2 linked regions of the Arabidopsis thaliana genome follow. The protein of the gene in region 1 purifies or fractionates together with the protein of each later gene. This does not show direct contact. Each region holds a gene or a part of one and is shown on either strand. Other genes may lie near its edges.

What was found. Proteins that work in one complex are often made in the same cells at the same time.
Region 2: the proteins of ELF7 (region 1) and NRPB10 fractionate together in Arabidopsis thaliana (co-fractionation; one large-scale study listed by BioGRID). This does not show direct contact.

Annotation. Positions count from the first base shown.
Region 1 is NC_003070.9:29,999,020-30,007,451, forward strand, and holds ELF7 (hydroxyproline-rich glycoprotein family protein), read right to left. Parts: upstream 5,065-8,432; 5' UTR 4,951-5,064; coding exon 4,355-4,950; intron 4,277-4,354; coding exon 4,208-4,276; intron 4,128-4,207; coding exon 4,020-4,127; intron 3,936-4,019; coding exon 3,755-3,935; intron 3,666-3,754; coding exon 3,589-3,665; intron 3,506-3,588; coding exon 3,386-3,505; intron 2,957-3,385; coding exon 2,851-2,956; intron 2,619-2,850; coding exon 2,532-2,618; intron 2,427-2,531; coding exon 2,358-2,426; intron 2,270-2,357; coding exon 2,201-2,269; intron 2,109-2,200; coding exon 1,965-2,108; intron 1,868-1,964; coding exon 1,724-1,867; 3' UTR 1,519-1,723; downstream 1-1,518. Other genes in the region: AT1G79740 (hAT transposon superfamily), read right to left, coding at 5,348-5,748, 6,055-7,608, 7,696-7,696. UniProt on the Arabidopsis thaliana protein: Component of the PAF1 complex (PAF1C) which is involved in histone modifications such as methylation on histone H3 'Lys-4' (H3K4me3). Involved in regulation of flowering time.
Region 2 is NC_003070.9:3,859,248-3,866,006, reverse strand, and holds NRPB10 (RNA polymerases N / 8 kDa subunit), read right to left. Parts: upstream 3,609-6,759; 5' UTR 3,488-3,608; coding exon 3,452-3,487; intron 3,249-3,451; coding exon 3,190-3,248; intron 2,424-3,189; coding exon 2,329-2,423; intron 2,228-2,328; coding exon 2,202-2,227; 3' UTR 1,933-2,201; downstream 1-1,932. Other genes in the region: AT1G11480 (eukaryotic translation initiation factor-like protein), read left to right, coding at 1-478, 573-751, 871-907, 993-1,054, 1,180-1,639; AT1G11470 (Pentatricopeptide repeat (PPR) superfamily protein), read left to right, coding at 5,485-5,629, 5,719-5,780, 5,888-6,133; UMAMIT26 (nodulin MtN21 /EamA-like transporter family protein), read right to left, coding at 6,739-6,759. UniProt on the Arabidopsis thaliana protein: DNA-dependent RNA polymerase catalyzes the transcription of DNA into RNA using the four ribonucleoside triphosphates as substrates. Component of RNA polymerase II which synthesizes mRNA precursors and many functional non-coding RNAs.

The sequences.
Region 1 (8,432 bases):
AGATTCTTGGGAAGTTTGGAGGTAGTGAAGAGAACAAAAGAGGAGAGGCTGGCGAGAAGTGGCAAATGAACAAAAAAGATTGGACCCCACTATGTGTGCATGAGATCAAATTATTGGGGATTCACGTGAATTACTGCAATTTTGTTACCAAATTACTAAAAACTTGCAATGTCTTTTGGTTGTTTTTTTAGTATATGTTAATTTTCTTTTGTTACAAAAATAAAATTCAACGTGAGATGGTGGTGCTACTGATGTTAAGTGTTGGCCGCTAGTGCTAAAATTCTCACCATTTTATTTTAATCTTTGATGTTATTATACAGATTTTTTAAAATCTATAAACGTTTGAAATTGATAGCAGTGATTAAGGAAATTTGTATGTATCAACAATAGCTTGAATAATGATTAGATTTAAGCATAACTAAAAACAAGGCATTGTCTCTTTTTTTTTTTTTTCTGTTTTTATATTTTTTTTCAGCCAATCACAAATCAACACAACTGATTTTAGCAATTAACATTTTAAAACTTAATAAAATTTCCATATCAAGATATTTATAAGAGAAAAAAATTAATAGACATACAAAGAGAAAATGTAATTTTAAAAGAAAAAAAAAATCATATGAAAAGAAGAAAAATGCAAAATTTTGTTATTAAAATATATATTATTATCCATATTATTAGGAAAGGAAAATATTAAATCTATATTCGAAGTCCACATGTGATTGGTCATTTCAGTAATTGACATTTTAAATTTTTATAAAATCTCTACATTAAGATACTTATAAAAAGCAAATAACTAAATAAATAAATAATAAATGAAACAATAAGAATGTAAACTTGTTTAAAAATAATGTAAAAAACATATCGAAAGAAGAAAGTTGTAAATAAAATATATTCACATTGCAGAGCTTCCCAGTCAAACAAATCACAAATAAAACGTTACATTATTTAGTCAAAAACGGTTGCTTTTTTCCTCAATAGAAAACTCCCTCACGCGCCCAATTTTTTAATTTTACCAAAAACAGCCAAAAACGGTCCACAGATTTTGAGGAGGTGGCGTCGACGCGCTAATTGTGCGAGTGGGTAAGAATTTGAATTTCGCAGTTATGTTTTGGGCTGATTTTTATACTGCCCACTGGGCTACACAAGAGGAAACCCAGTTTCATATAATAATAGGCCCACCTAATAGAAAAAGCCCTTCGTAAAAGAAAACATAGTGGACCATAATAATTTCATTTGTACAAGAAATTTTGAAAATGTCATATTTTCGGGAACCTGTAAAATAACCACAATTGCAACACTGGGATCTACTACAGTACAAGATTTGCTCTAATCCATCCTAATTAATTACTGGTAGTAGAACCTGTATAATATTATTACAGATTCTAATCAGCTCTGGTAGAAAGACAGTGTAAGTAAGTATCTAAGAAGGCTTCTCTGTACAAGGAATTCTCTCAGGGATGTGTTCTCATGAACATAGCCACTGAAGATGAACGGAGCTGCCACATTAGATAGGATCAAAGTCGTAAATGGCCAATTCATTAATTATGGACGTGTACATGTAAAATCGTTTTTCAACTTCGCCAGCTATCCAAATCAAAATTTCTTTACTTGCCAAACTACAAAGCTGTGGTGGAGGCCATATTACGCTTTTAAATTAGCCTACAATAGCCTTGCAGGAAAACCATTGCAAAACCGATTCAATAGTTTGAGGTACACGAAACGTTCATTCAGAATAATCATCCTCATTACCATCACTATATTGATTGGCATCTTGTTCCGGCTCGTGTTTCCAAGATCTACCAAGGCCGCCTTCGTCCTCTAATCTTCTCATCTTGGAGCTCGAAGCACCAACCCTAGAAGAGTAAACCTACATCCAAAGCCCCAAAGTCCAAAGGAATTGGTAAGAGAACTAGAACTTTCCACGTGTTACTCTTTTAAAGGCTAAATGTATGGATTTACTATACCCCTGAATCTTTATGTTCTATCACTGATACAGTTGATCTCCGCCTTACAGTTACCCTTGAAGGTACTGGAAAGTGTTCAATCTCATCAGAAGATCTTCCTTCCCTGGCCCTTTTCTTCCTCAAGTTCAACCTCATGGGTAGGGGCTGCCAAATTCTCAACGGTCATCCCAAAGTATTATAGACAGAAGAAAAAAAAGATACACAACTGGAATATGTAACAAAAACCGATGCAATACCAGATAGCTAGCGGTCCCATTGTCAAATGATACCAGGTATGTGCCAGGATCGTTTGCATTGGGTTGTACCTGTTATAACATCAGGTGACATATTTATTTCAATCTGCAACTCAAACAATCAAAATTTCACTTAAACCACATTGGCTATAGTACATACATCCCAGAGGTATTCGCGAACCCAAGTGTAAGAGATTTCTTCGTTTTCATCATGGATATCCTTAGACAACTGGCACAGCAACATAAATTGATAACACATCAATCAAACTGAACTTTTCTTGACTTGTCAAAATTTGTGTAAAAGAGAGATCAGTTTATGGAGAGGCATGTCTACCTCATCCAAGGAAGGAACCATGTACGCCAGAAATTTTTCTGGATTGGCAGTGTCTGATCCAGCCACCACATAGCTTTTCAAAATGGCCTGTGGAGTATGAGGTCAGAGCTCGTCATCAATATGAAAATAAGGCAATCAACCATAGTTAAGATTCAGCCCCATATATCATATATCCTATCCTCATTCAAGTACACTTATGTAAGCAACAAAAACGATATAGTTGATACAGTCATCTTTTCTCTCAGGAACAAAGTATCCCTATGATAGAGACCAGAGATAATTGGACCATACTCATGGATATCGGTAACTCATAACTCACCCGTGACTCATGTGCATCACGAATTGAAGGGTCCAACTTGCCAAAGAATTCAGAATCAGCTATAGGAGCACCATCAAAATTCGCTACCACAAACTGCTCATCGTACCTGTGTCAAAAAAGGAAGGGGAGAGTCAAATGTAATAGCATAGTATGCTACAGGTTCAGTGAAAATTATTAGTGGATGTTTCATCCAAAAGGCAATACACTAAAACCCTAGCAAAGAAACATTTGAACAAGAGTTGGAGCAGAGAAAAGGGAAAAATTAAAGACCCAACATCTCTCTTAAGTGTTGTATAGTTAGACCTTAACAAGGCTGCCTATTTTCCCACCCGATTGATTACACTATCCTATAGGAAAACTATTCGTGCATGTTTCCGACCACAGGAGATCCTTCAGAGAGAGCCAACATAAAGATAATCTGTAAAGTGTCAGCTTTCAAGCTGTGTCTACATGTAGGACTATTATGAGAAAATTTTGCCTGATTCGGTATTTCAGATTTAAGATTGTCTGCAAGGGGAAATAAAGAGCATCCAACCTATCAAAATATGGCAACAGTGGTAGAACTTCAACCGGCTGCAAGTTTTTATTGGTGGCATGAACTGGTCGAGACTTGCATGCCTCAAAGGATGCTTCAATATCCTTGATTTGTCTCTCTCTAGAGACCAAAGAAAAATAAACCATTAGACCTTTTTTTTTCTCACTTTCCTTAGAAATACACATATTTGAGAAACAACACACCTATTGTTAAGATTGTGCAAGATGTTGATGCCTCCTTTCATCTCTCGCAGTTCCTTTGCTTGCTTCTCCGTTAGCGACTACACAAGGTAAACATAGGAAATTGGAAACTGTCTCTAGAAGCTATACATGGCAAAACAAATTTCCAACAAGCGAGATGGATAGATACCTGTCTTGCCGATTCGTTATTAATAGAAGAAATGTATTGTGTTTTGACGAGCCAAGACATGCCTTTATCAGTAGGTCTTTCTTTCCTCCGGATGCCATCTTTCTTAATAGGTGTAACAGCGTCATCATCACGCAAGAGTTCTTCATCTTCAGGGGCAAGAGGTGCCTTGACTTTGGGAGGGCTGAAAAGAGCTACAACAGTAAGTATCCCCAGTAGATGAGGTCGCTGGCATTAAAGACACTAAGACTTTATTGAGAGCACATACTTGTACACACTTAGGTCAAGCAGATCCAAGGGTATTCCAAGATCAGGCTCGACAAAGATTTTTGGTTTCCATAATTTCTCCAGGGATGTGATGGTATACTTTGTAAATCTAGTGGGATCAAAATAGCTGGCAAGTAAGGACAGTAGAATAACACAGAAATAAAATTTGGCAATAATAGAGAAACATACTGATCTTTATCCCGTTTAATGGTCATAAGCTTAAGCTGTGCACTAGGGTCAGGGAGCTCATTCCGGAACCTTGAAGAAGAAGATGAATATCAGAGTCTAACAATAATATGTAAAAAAGATTTAGGTAGTCGTTTGAAGAATACTGACTTGAGCTTGCAGATGAAGGTGGTTGGTTTCTTTAACCTATTCTCGACCCTGTCGGTGGTGAGTAGGGGCGTCGGCTTCTTCTCCTCGGTGTGTCCCTTGGGCATCTGAGACTTGTGAGAATTTTTCATCTGCTGTCTATGTTTTTCGTCTTGCCTTTGTTTCTCTAACTCCCTCTTCTTCCTAAGCCTCCTCTCTTCTTCGGTCTCGATTTTCTTAGAATGAGGAAGATGAGACCTGTGGTGGTGCTTCGATGGATCCGGTTTAGCACGCTCCCGCCTTCCAACCTGCTTGGAGGCCCCTTTCTCGTGGTCATTGGGACCCTGGTGTCGAGGAGGATCGGGAACGAGCGGAGGAGGAGCTGAGGGAGGTGGCGGAGGAGGAGGAGCTTGGAGCTGGTTGAATTGAGGATAGTGGGGCCCCTGCTGATAGTAAGCATGCGGAGGAGGAGGCGGCGGCGGAGGATATGAGTACGGTTGATGCGACGGTGGTGGGGGAGGAACAGGAGGGGGTAACGACGGCGGGGGAGGCGGAGGGGCCAAAGAATTTTGAGATGGTGGCTGAGGAAGAGGAGGATACGGCGGCCGGTACGACGCCATTCTCGGTGTACTTTGTGATCTGAATCACCTAAACCAACTAAAACGAGTCTTCTTGATATATATTAATTATATAGCTCCGGTCAGACTGATTTTTCCTTTTTACTTTAATTTGGGCCTCACTAGCGGCCCAATAACCGCTACTATCATATGGGTTCTGATAATTACGGCTTCAATACAAACAAAAACAATCTTAAGCTCACCGTTTTATGAATCCCAAATATGAACGAAACATGCTTTGTACCACCAAGCTCATCGACGTGTGACTGTGTGAGGAACACAAAATATTTATTTTCTACATTGATAATTACTCAAACATTATGTACAGTATAGCGAACCGAGGTGTGTGGTTAAACACTCAACACGCTGGACCAACTTATGAAAACCTCTTACCAGGACTTCACAAGCCGAAGATGTTATGGTCGTTGGCACTGAAAATAGCACCGCCAAACTGCCTGGTGTTCAAGTCGCCTCCATCAAGGGCGGTCCCAAAACGGTCAAGCCACTGGGCAGGACTGGGATTCTCTGCCTCTTCCACCCACTCCGACATCATGTCAATGTCCTCCAGGGCAATTGGGTCTGTCTCCAAGGTTATCATCCTCCCTAACTTTAGATTCTGATTCACGTACGCCAACTTGTTCAATATTTCTCTGTCAATCTTGTTTCGCCTTTCCCAGTGCATCTGCTGGAATGTGCTCCATTGGCGTTCCAAGTTGTAACCGCTGCAAACTTGGCTTAGTATTCTGATGGCCACCCGCTGCAAAACAGGTGCTGAGTCACCAAACTGCTCCCACCAGAGACCTGCATTACTAAGCAAACCATTATTAGACATCAACTTCTAGTCTTCTAGTGCTTCGTTACCAATTCTAAAGATCCCAGACCATACCCCTAATAGCCTGGTGAGGGGAAGATATCTACTAGTTTTGCAATTCGGTTTACTACGTGCCAGGCTATATCAACCTGGACTTATTTAGTTGTGTAATAAGACCATAGCTTTAATTGCGGTCATAGATAAGTGGATTATTTTTCTCCCGACTCAGACTACCTATACATCTCTGTTCACTAGTCATGACTTAAAGAAAATATAAATGTATTTATTGTCCATACCTGGTGAAACTGAATCCCTCGCCTCCATGGCCAGGTTACAGCCGAACATTCCCTTTGCCCTAGTGAAAGTGAATATCTGATTTGTAATATCACGCCGTAGATCGCTAGTAGGAAGAAGTTTCTCCAACACTTTGAAAAAATCTTCTTTCAAGGAAGTGAGGAACTTTATCTCTGGGTTATACTGAATACTGGGGTTCAAGAATGCTGCTGCTGCATGAAGAGGTGAATGCAAATGCTCACACCAGTTAGTATCAACTATGTCAGAAAAGACCTTATGCTTATTCTCATCCATGATGTAGTATGTCCGTATTGACTCCTTGGCCTTGGACATTAACTCGTATATAGAACCTACAGCGGGCTTTCCAGTAGAAACTTCCCTCAACACTTTCAGGATAGGCTCGGAAATAGCCACACTTTCTTCCACAGCTCTCCAGAAATCATTATCCTCTAGGATATTCACGCATGAAATGCTCTGTGGTTTGTTAGTATTTGTGGTATACTCTGGGCAATTGAACATGTGTTTTAGCCTTGCCTTTTGTTTCATCATTGACTGTAATGATAGAAAATTGGAGACAGACCTTGTGACACCGCTTCGGATAATATCTTGCCCGCCTGTTAACTTTCTCAATAAATCTAGCACGGGGCTATTGTTGTAGACAAACTTAGATATGACCTGCGCTTGCGATATACATTGATTGACCCAATCAACCTTGGAGAATTCTTCTAAGATGATGTTCAAACACTGAGATGCACAGGGGGAGACGAAAATGGTTGCATAGTTTTGCAAGAGATGGTTTGAGATACCAGTGTAGCAGAAGCTGTTGTCCATAATGATTTGCACAATATGCTCCTGACCAATATCTTGGATGACAGAATCAAAGAGATCAGCAAGGCATTTTGAGTTCTTGAAATATGAGGAGGCGTCGACAGACTTGTGAAAAAAGATTCTGGAAGGTGAAGAGACGGAGAAGTTAATCAGTGCTCGTGATTTGTTGTCGGTCCATGCCTCAGCGATGATAGTACAGCCGGTGGTGACCCACTCCTTTTCAGTGTCTTTCAGTTGTAAGCTAATATCTGACTTAACCCTGTCCAGCCATTCAGTCTTGGGAGAAGGAGCAACAAATCCAGGACCACACTTGGCAACGGCGTCGAGCATATGGTGATAAGAGGGTGAGCGGGCAACAGCGAAGTCAATCTTGTTCTCAAAGAAGAAGAGAGAAATACTCCTCTCTGCAATGTCCTGCGCATTAGGAGGAGAACTAGGAAAGACTAGTTTGGACGCAGGAGCATCAAACGGAGGAGATAAAGGTGGTGGAGGCTTGTACTTGTTGGTAATGGGGGGATCATCCTTGGCAGATAAAATGGAACGAACTCTATCAGTAACATCGTCCCTAACCTTGGCACATGGATTAACCCCTTTACTGGGAAGGCGAGAGAGATGATGCTTCAATCTACTAATGCCGCCATTAAGAACTCTAGAGCAAAACTTGCATTTAACCTTGTTACCATCTAGTTTCTCTGCGTATTCCCAGCAGATATCTTTTTCTCGTACCACTGTCTCACACAACAACAATCGAATTTTTCATCTCAATCATAGGAAAGAAAATAAATAGAGCTGCTACTTTACTTTACATTACTTACTTGGTGAATGATATATGATGTTGTTCTTCGTCAGCTTCCACCTGCCAACACACACAAAACCCTAGTAAGGAAATAAGAAATGTATGGAGGATTCTAGATTTCCTCTTGAGGATTGCCGGAATATGAGAAAGACACATGACGTAGCCACCGGTTCCCGGAGAGGAGAGAAACAGATTCGAAGATCTAATCGGAGAAGACCAAGTAGCAAGAAATCAAAGAGAATTTGGGATAAAGAAGAGTAATTGGGATAAGCTGCTTTACCGAGAGAGAAAGAGATTCACTTCTTCTCGCCGGAACCAACACTTCTGAGAAGTTAATTTTTCGCGATATTTTGCTCTCCTTCTTTCTTATGTCGTCGTCCTAGTTTTACTTTCCCTTCCTTCCTCTAATTGTCGTCGTCATTTCACTCTTAATTACATTTTCAATGAAATCGATACTAGTTTCCACCACTTTCAATTCACTATCATCCTTAATTTGGTTCACTGCACTAAACGATTACACTCAACAATCAAGATATTGGCTCATCATTACCACGCACTAGAATGTTTTAGCTATCGATGATTTGCAGTATACGATGACCATACTTGAAGTATTTAAGTAAGAAGAAGAAAAAAACAACAAAGCTAGCTAGCAGTCACAATAAAATTGATGATCCTGAATATTTCCTAAAAGGAAAGCACACCATATGCAATCACATGTTGCTACCAAGAGACTACTAGCATACACGAGTATATGGC
Region 2 (6,759 bases), about 26 Mb from region 1:
GACTAAACAACCAGCTGTTTCGAATTTGGTCCATACAAGTGCGCTTGACCAAGTGTCTTCAGGAGGATGGCAGTCCAAGCTTTTGGTTCCTTCTCAGATGGGTTTTGATGTTGTTAAGCATTCAGAGATAGATACCAGAGTTTATAAGACTAATAGCCCTGTGATTAGTCAAGGGGTTGAGCCACATGGAACACATGTAGAACGGGCACTGATTGCTGAAGATGGGATCCAGCGTGGGAAAAAACTCTCCCGTGAGTATGAGAAAATCCCTGGTCCAACTTATGTGGATGCTAAGGAAGCGAAAATTGTAGCAAACACCAACGATAAACCTCATCCAAAATACTCTGACGTTAAGCCTGCTGGACATTTGGTGCAGCCAACTGCCCCTTCTGAAGTTGTGGAAAGACCTAAGCTGAACCTGCTTCCTCGGACAAAACCACTTGAAAGTGTGGAGAAACCTGTGAATGACGAAAAACTGGTATAGTTGTTACAAGTTTCTGAACTGCCACTTTAGTTTTCAGGTTTCTTTTTTCCTCAACTATGTTTCTGATACCTCAGTTTTGTATCTGCAGGAAAATAGTGCTTCAGTCCTTATACAACGTGAAAATGCGACACAGAAAAGTTTCAACAATTCAAAATCTGGTTTGTCTACAGATGAGATTCCTAACCAGCCGGCTGAGCGGCCCAAGTTGAATCTGAAGCCTGTGGCACAGTTGCTTGAGCAGCCAGAAGTTAAAACTGAAAAGGACAGGTAACAATGTGGTACTTACATTTTTTTGTCCCAGCTCGGTAATAATTATTTTGGAGCTTGGGGACATAACTATAGTTATATAGAAGAATTGTTCTTAAAATTTGTACTGGCTGGTGCAGAAGTGCGGTTTTTGGTGGTGCCAGACCACGAGAGCTGGTGAGTGCAGTTTGTTTCATCTTGTTGTATAACTCACTCTTGTTATGTTGTCCATTTGTTTATCATCATTTGATTTCCTGGACAGGTGTTGAAGGAGAGAGGCATTGATGAGCCCGAGCATCACAAATTGGATCAACCGACAGATAGGTAGAACGGGTTTCTCTACCCACTCACATTCTGTGTATACTTTCTGCGATCCAACACTTACGATTCCATTGAGACCAACTATCTAATTTAAAGTTCTGTTTTTGTTTTTTCTTTTATATCAAAAGGATGGTCCTCAAACCGATTGAAAGAGTTCCAGAGCATGCAAGTCAAAGGCCAGTGAGTTCTCCACGTGACATGAGAACGAGGAAATTCGACCAAAAGGATGGGCGAAATGTAAGCGACATTGCCAGATCCGAAACTCAGAGGAGAAACTGGCGTGAAAATGAAAACAAGAGCGCAAGACAGCAACAGCAGACTCAGGAGAAGACAAGACATCCATCACCAGAGACATGGCGAAAGCCGGTTCCCCAGAAACTGGATTCACCAAATGGAACAGGGATTCGTCACGGAAAAGCAGCTTCTGCTCTTGAGCTAGCTCAAGCCTATTCTCCTTTCTCTGACCCTAAATCTGGAATTGGAAGCAGCAACAGTTTTAACAAAAGCCGCAACAACCAAACGCAGCAGCAACCCTTCTCTCGGTTGGTAGGATCGACAACAACAGGAAGACAGATTAATGGGTACTGAGTCATCGTTCGTTTGTTCTCTCGAATTGGTTTTAGTCCCGATTAATTGGATCTTAATAACACATCTTATGTGGTTTGGGATCGTTATTGGAGATTTGAATGTGATATGTTCCCTTAAGAACGGGGTCGGGTTACATAAGCCAGATATGATTACACTGTGTTCTTCATTCTTCTTTGGTTATACATTTTATTTTAACCGTTCGTTTGGAAGATTTGAAAACTCTTGCCCGAGCCTGAACACACTAAACAGTTGGACGATTCTGTTGTACTTGCGTTTTGTATACAAAAGGTTATGAAGACCAGTGACTTTTAACTCTTTTCTCAAAGGTTTTCAGTTATGGCCATGAAAATCACCTCAATAATACTAATGAAACATGAATCCAAAGGAGAAATCTTCAAGGTCAGGAAATCATGAGATTGAATCACACGAGAAAGTAACTGACACACATATATAATTTTAGATGGAGTTGAAGGGTCTACACCACATACACCAAATGTTTTCATACATACTAATATTTAAGCCTCTAAAGAGGAAAACTTTTTCAGCAGATTTGCATCCTCTTCTAACTGTTGTCTGATTTCTCCAGAGCTGCAAGGAAAAGTACGTGGGTACCAGTAAATAAATCGAAAAGGACAATAACGTCCGAGTCAAAAGATACACAACATATGATAAGAGTTTGGAGAGTATACTGTTGTAGTTGAGAAGCTTCTCAATCAGATCAACATGAGTCATTAGCATACGCCTGCAGCAGTATCTGACTAGCTGGAGTGCATCAAGTGCGTCCCTGCAAAATAATAAGGATATTGTAACTTCATACCTATTGAGGAGATTGAACAACACTAAGAGCCAAAAGAAAGACAAAACCAACACAGATTGAATATCTAGACACCAAGCTTAAATCCTTCTACAGGTGTAAAGAGAATCATAAGTCATCAAGCCTTCAGTCATACTTATAACAGTCGAGATAGAATCTACAACTAAACAAGATAGGCACAACAATAGTCTGTTCCAATAACATATAAAGAGCAGAGCATTAGCTTAACCCTATAAACGATTAACCCTTGGTTTGCTTCTCCAATAGCGAAATTGTTGAACTAATCCCATACTTCACACGTATTATGAACCATTCTCTCATGTTCAGACAAAGTATTCTATTTTCACACAAAGAATGATTAGTCCAATAAGAATCATGTAGATGGGCACAAGTCTAATCAAAAGACCTTAAGTCTTACTTTCTACTTCTATCAAATATCAATTGTATAGAAAATCTAGATAGGCACATAGAGATTATATAGGCAGGACATAGTCTCTTCCAATGACACAGACAGTAAAACACAAACACAGAAGATTATAAAAAGCTAACTCCTTCATCAGCAAATCTATTTTATAGCTTCTGTTATCAATTAGAGAAGTGTGTTAGCTAATATGAAACTTCACAGACCCAATACGAAATCTGGGCTAATTTCTCTAAAACGCAAAGCAATTACTCTCTTTTTGACACAAAGTATGATGATTAGAGCAGCAAGAAGTGAGAATCATTGTAAGCTTACCCTTCAGTGTAGTCGAGCTGGAGAAGATCAAGATACTGATCCCATTTGTTTCCAATCACCTAAACCAATCACAAGGTGAAAGCTTAGTAAAGCTCAATACTTTATTTCTCTAATCGACCCAACATGTATCCAACCGATTAAAAACATTCGTGTCAAATACAGAGAGTAAAGATCTCTTCTTAGCCAAATTTGGAGTAACTAAAACCCTATAAAGACGGAGTAAAACCCTAAATAAGACCAAAGCGAAGGGGAAAATATCAACCTTTCCACAAGTAAAGCAACGAACAGGGATGATCATCTTGAGCTAGTTGAAATCTGTACTTGCTCTGTCTCTCTTTCTCTGCTTGGGAATTTTAGGGTTTTTCGTTTCGTGCTTCTTTAAAAAGGTCAAGTACAACTTTGAGCTTATAACTGGGGTTAAGGAGGGCTTTCCTTAAACGACGTCGTATTTGTACGACGAGGCTTCCCCAAACCAAACGACGGTATCATTGGAAATGTGATTGACCAAAGTCAAACCCTCCCTCCGGTTTAAATTCGGTTCAGTTATATATAGTTCGATTTTTGTAGCTTGTAAGAAAATTTGTGATGGAAAACTGAAAGATACGTTCTTAAAGAGTTTGTTTCGTCTAATTATTCTTCCGTTTCTCCATTATTACCAACAAGATCAACATCTGACGGTAATTTAAAACTGGTATTCAGGTACTGAACAAGTCTGCTACATAAAAAGATTCTAGTTTAAACAAACCGACTCTGGTTAGCTCTACATCCCAAAACTCTAAAGTCTGCTGCAGAAGATTCTAATTATACTAGGAGTTAAGAAACTTCAAACACACTAAAACCCGTAGAGCTCTAAGTAAAGATGTTGATGCAAGCTTGAGCTAAATGTAACCTTCTAAGATAGATTCTGATACCTCTCCCTTGGTAAATTCCCAAACATGATAATAAAAGCATCCAGGAGACATTCATCTCGATAATAACGCCATCTTCACTCTTCAACCCGCTTTCAGTCAATGAGAGTTCATCTTCTTCAAAATCGTCCACCATTTCAGCTGAGTACAGATACCTACACTTTTCCACACCGGTATATTAGGGAAATGCATCAAACAGGTTACTTCTCTTAGAGTAAATGTCACAGTTTTAATCACTTTTACAAGCCTCAGTAGCAGATAAGATCAGGTATACAAAGACCTAAAACTGATAGTAGTAGACACACCAGAAGCACCTGATTGGAAAAGGTCGAGTAAACGGTAAAGAGAGATTGATATGATTACCTAGTTGGCTTTTGTGATGGAGACCAGAAAAAGCAGATGAGTACGAAAGATATCTATATGCACTGCCCTTAGTCTGTTATGGAATTATAAATCATCAAAGGACTGAAAGTATTGTTGGTTTCTTTATTCTTACCTTAAGCTTGTTAATGGTTGTCAACAAGGACCTGAAGATCCACTGAACACAGCAAGTTTCCAGTATAGCCCAAGAGAGCATTTTAAGAGTCATTTTCTCAAAGTGTTTAGCCAACGAGAGTGATTCGCTTATAACAAATCATAGCACACCAAGAAGCATCCTGAATGTTATGCCATTAGTGGTAGGCTTTACTATCCAATATCCACAAGTTATGAACAAAAGTAAAAGCCGAGACAATGCTTTCCTCGCAGAAGGAAAAGGTTATCACCCATACTGTAACCTCCACAGACCTTGTACCAGCGAGATAGGCGAAGTCAAAGTAGCAGTGGAGTCTTGAAACTTGGAAGCGTAAAGAGCTTCACTGTCACCGGGAACATAGAGACCGTTGGCAATTTTCGTAAATCTCAGCATCAGTAGTCTTGATCAAGCTCCCGATCAAAACAAGGAAAATTGCAGAAGACCCTAAACACTGGTAAGAGCTCACTCACTGCCACTGGTAAGCTTACTTCACTCGCTTAGAGAAGAAGAAGAAGGCTCGTGTCTACTGTGTGTGGTTGACCCGGGTCCAGTACTATTCAAAAAGTTCACACGTGTGTAGAGTTAGGGGTATTATAGACATTTCATCGTTTTATTTATTTTTACAATCTAGTAGACTGATTCATAAGTCAAACTGACAAATCGACAAAGATGTAGGTAATTGTGTAAGTAACCTACTAATATAAGAGAGATCATATCCTGATTTTAACAAGGCAACTTGATTGTTTTATATATTAGAGAATTAGGGTTATCAAAATTAGGGTTTGGAAAATGTTGGCCTTGCGCCGAATGGTATCATCAGGTTCTCTTCATCTATGGAAAAGAGAGATGAAGATCTCTACGCTTACGAGAACAATGGCTCCGTTTTCTTCTTCTTCTGCTGAGATTAAGATCGCGAGAACGGCTCCGTTTTCTTCTTCTGCTGAGAACAAAGGGAACAGGCAGATCAACGGAGCTTCTTCTTCTGCTTCCTCTTGTGATGCTGAGAATGCAAAGAGTGGTATTTTCAAGAAGCTGAGGTCTCTTACCCGAGAGACCTTAGAATTCATCATCGCGGAGGAAGAGAAGAAGGGTGTTCCCGTCACCCAGGCGGATCTCGTCAGCTCGGCAAAGCAGCTTACATGGAAGGCAAACATGTAGATGCTCTCCAGGTATCTTTCTCATCTATCTAACTTTTGTATTCATCGCTCTATTTCTTTTCTAGTTAGAGATCATTGTGTTAGGATTTATGAAAGTTTGTTTTTTTGGTTGTTGTTAGATCTTTATGTGGATGCATAGAAAGGAGATGAGTTTCTCTACCTCTGAGGTTGCACTCTTTGTGGATATCATTGGTAACACTATCGGCATAGCTGCTGCTCACTCCTACTTGAAGAAAGTAGACCCAAACTGCGACCAAATGCACAATCGTACCGAGAATTGGCCTGCTTTCGTGTCTCTCGTGAAGTTGGAGACTAAGCTGTTAAAGGAAAACGGGATAGTTCACGCTACTCGCCCTCCCAAGTGAATGATTAACTATTAATTTGGTCTGTGTCTGTGTCTGTGTGTGCGCGCTTTCTTATGTACTCTTTGTCTTCTCTTTTCATTTCATCTATTGTCGAATACCTTTTCATGTTATAAGCCTCTGAATTTATTATGTATCTCTTCTTAACTGGGTGACCTCTTCATGTTTTGCTTTGAAATAACAATAAGCCTTTGAATTATGTATATCTCTTCTTTACTGTGAATTAATCCAAGTAGAATAATATACTACTCTGCATAACACTAATACAACTGGTCTTAACTTTAATTAGGAATTTCAAATCTCATTTTGAATGCATCGACGTTCTTTCATGGCATGGCTTCCTCCATTTTTCATATAGTGCGCCTCTCGATGTTATTAGTTTATATATCATTTACCAATGGCACTTGTGAACTTTTCGAAAAATTACAGTCCATATCACATAAAATTACCCTTTCAGACTGTTTTAGCAACACATTGATACATTTAAAAGCAACACACACACAAAAAAAAAAAAAAATCCAAGAAACAGAGGTTTTGAAACTAAGAACAATAATACGACACTAATATTTAATTTTGGTCTTCGTTATTCATTAGAGAAGACAATGTAGTTATGCTTCCATATCTTTGTT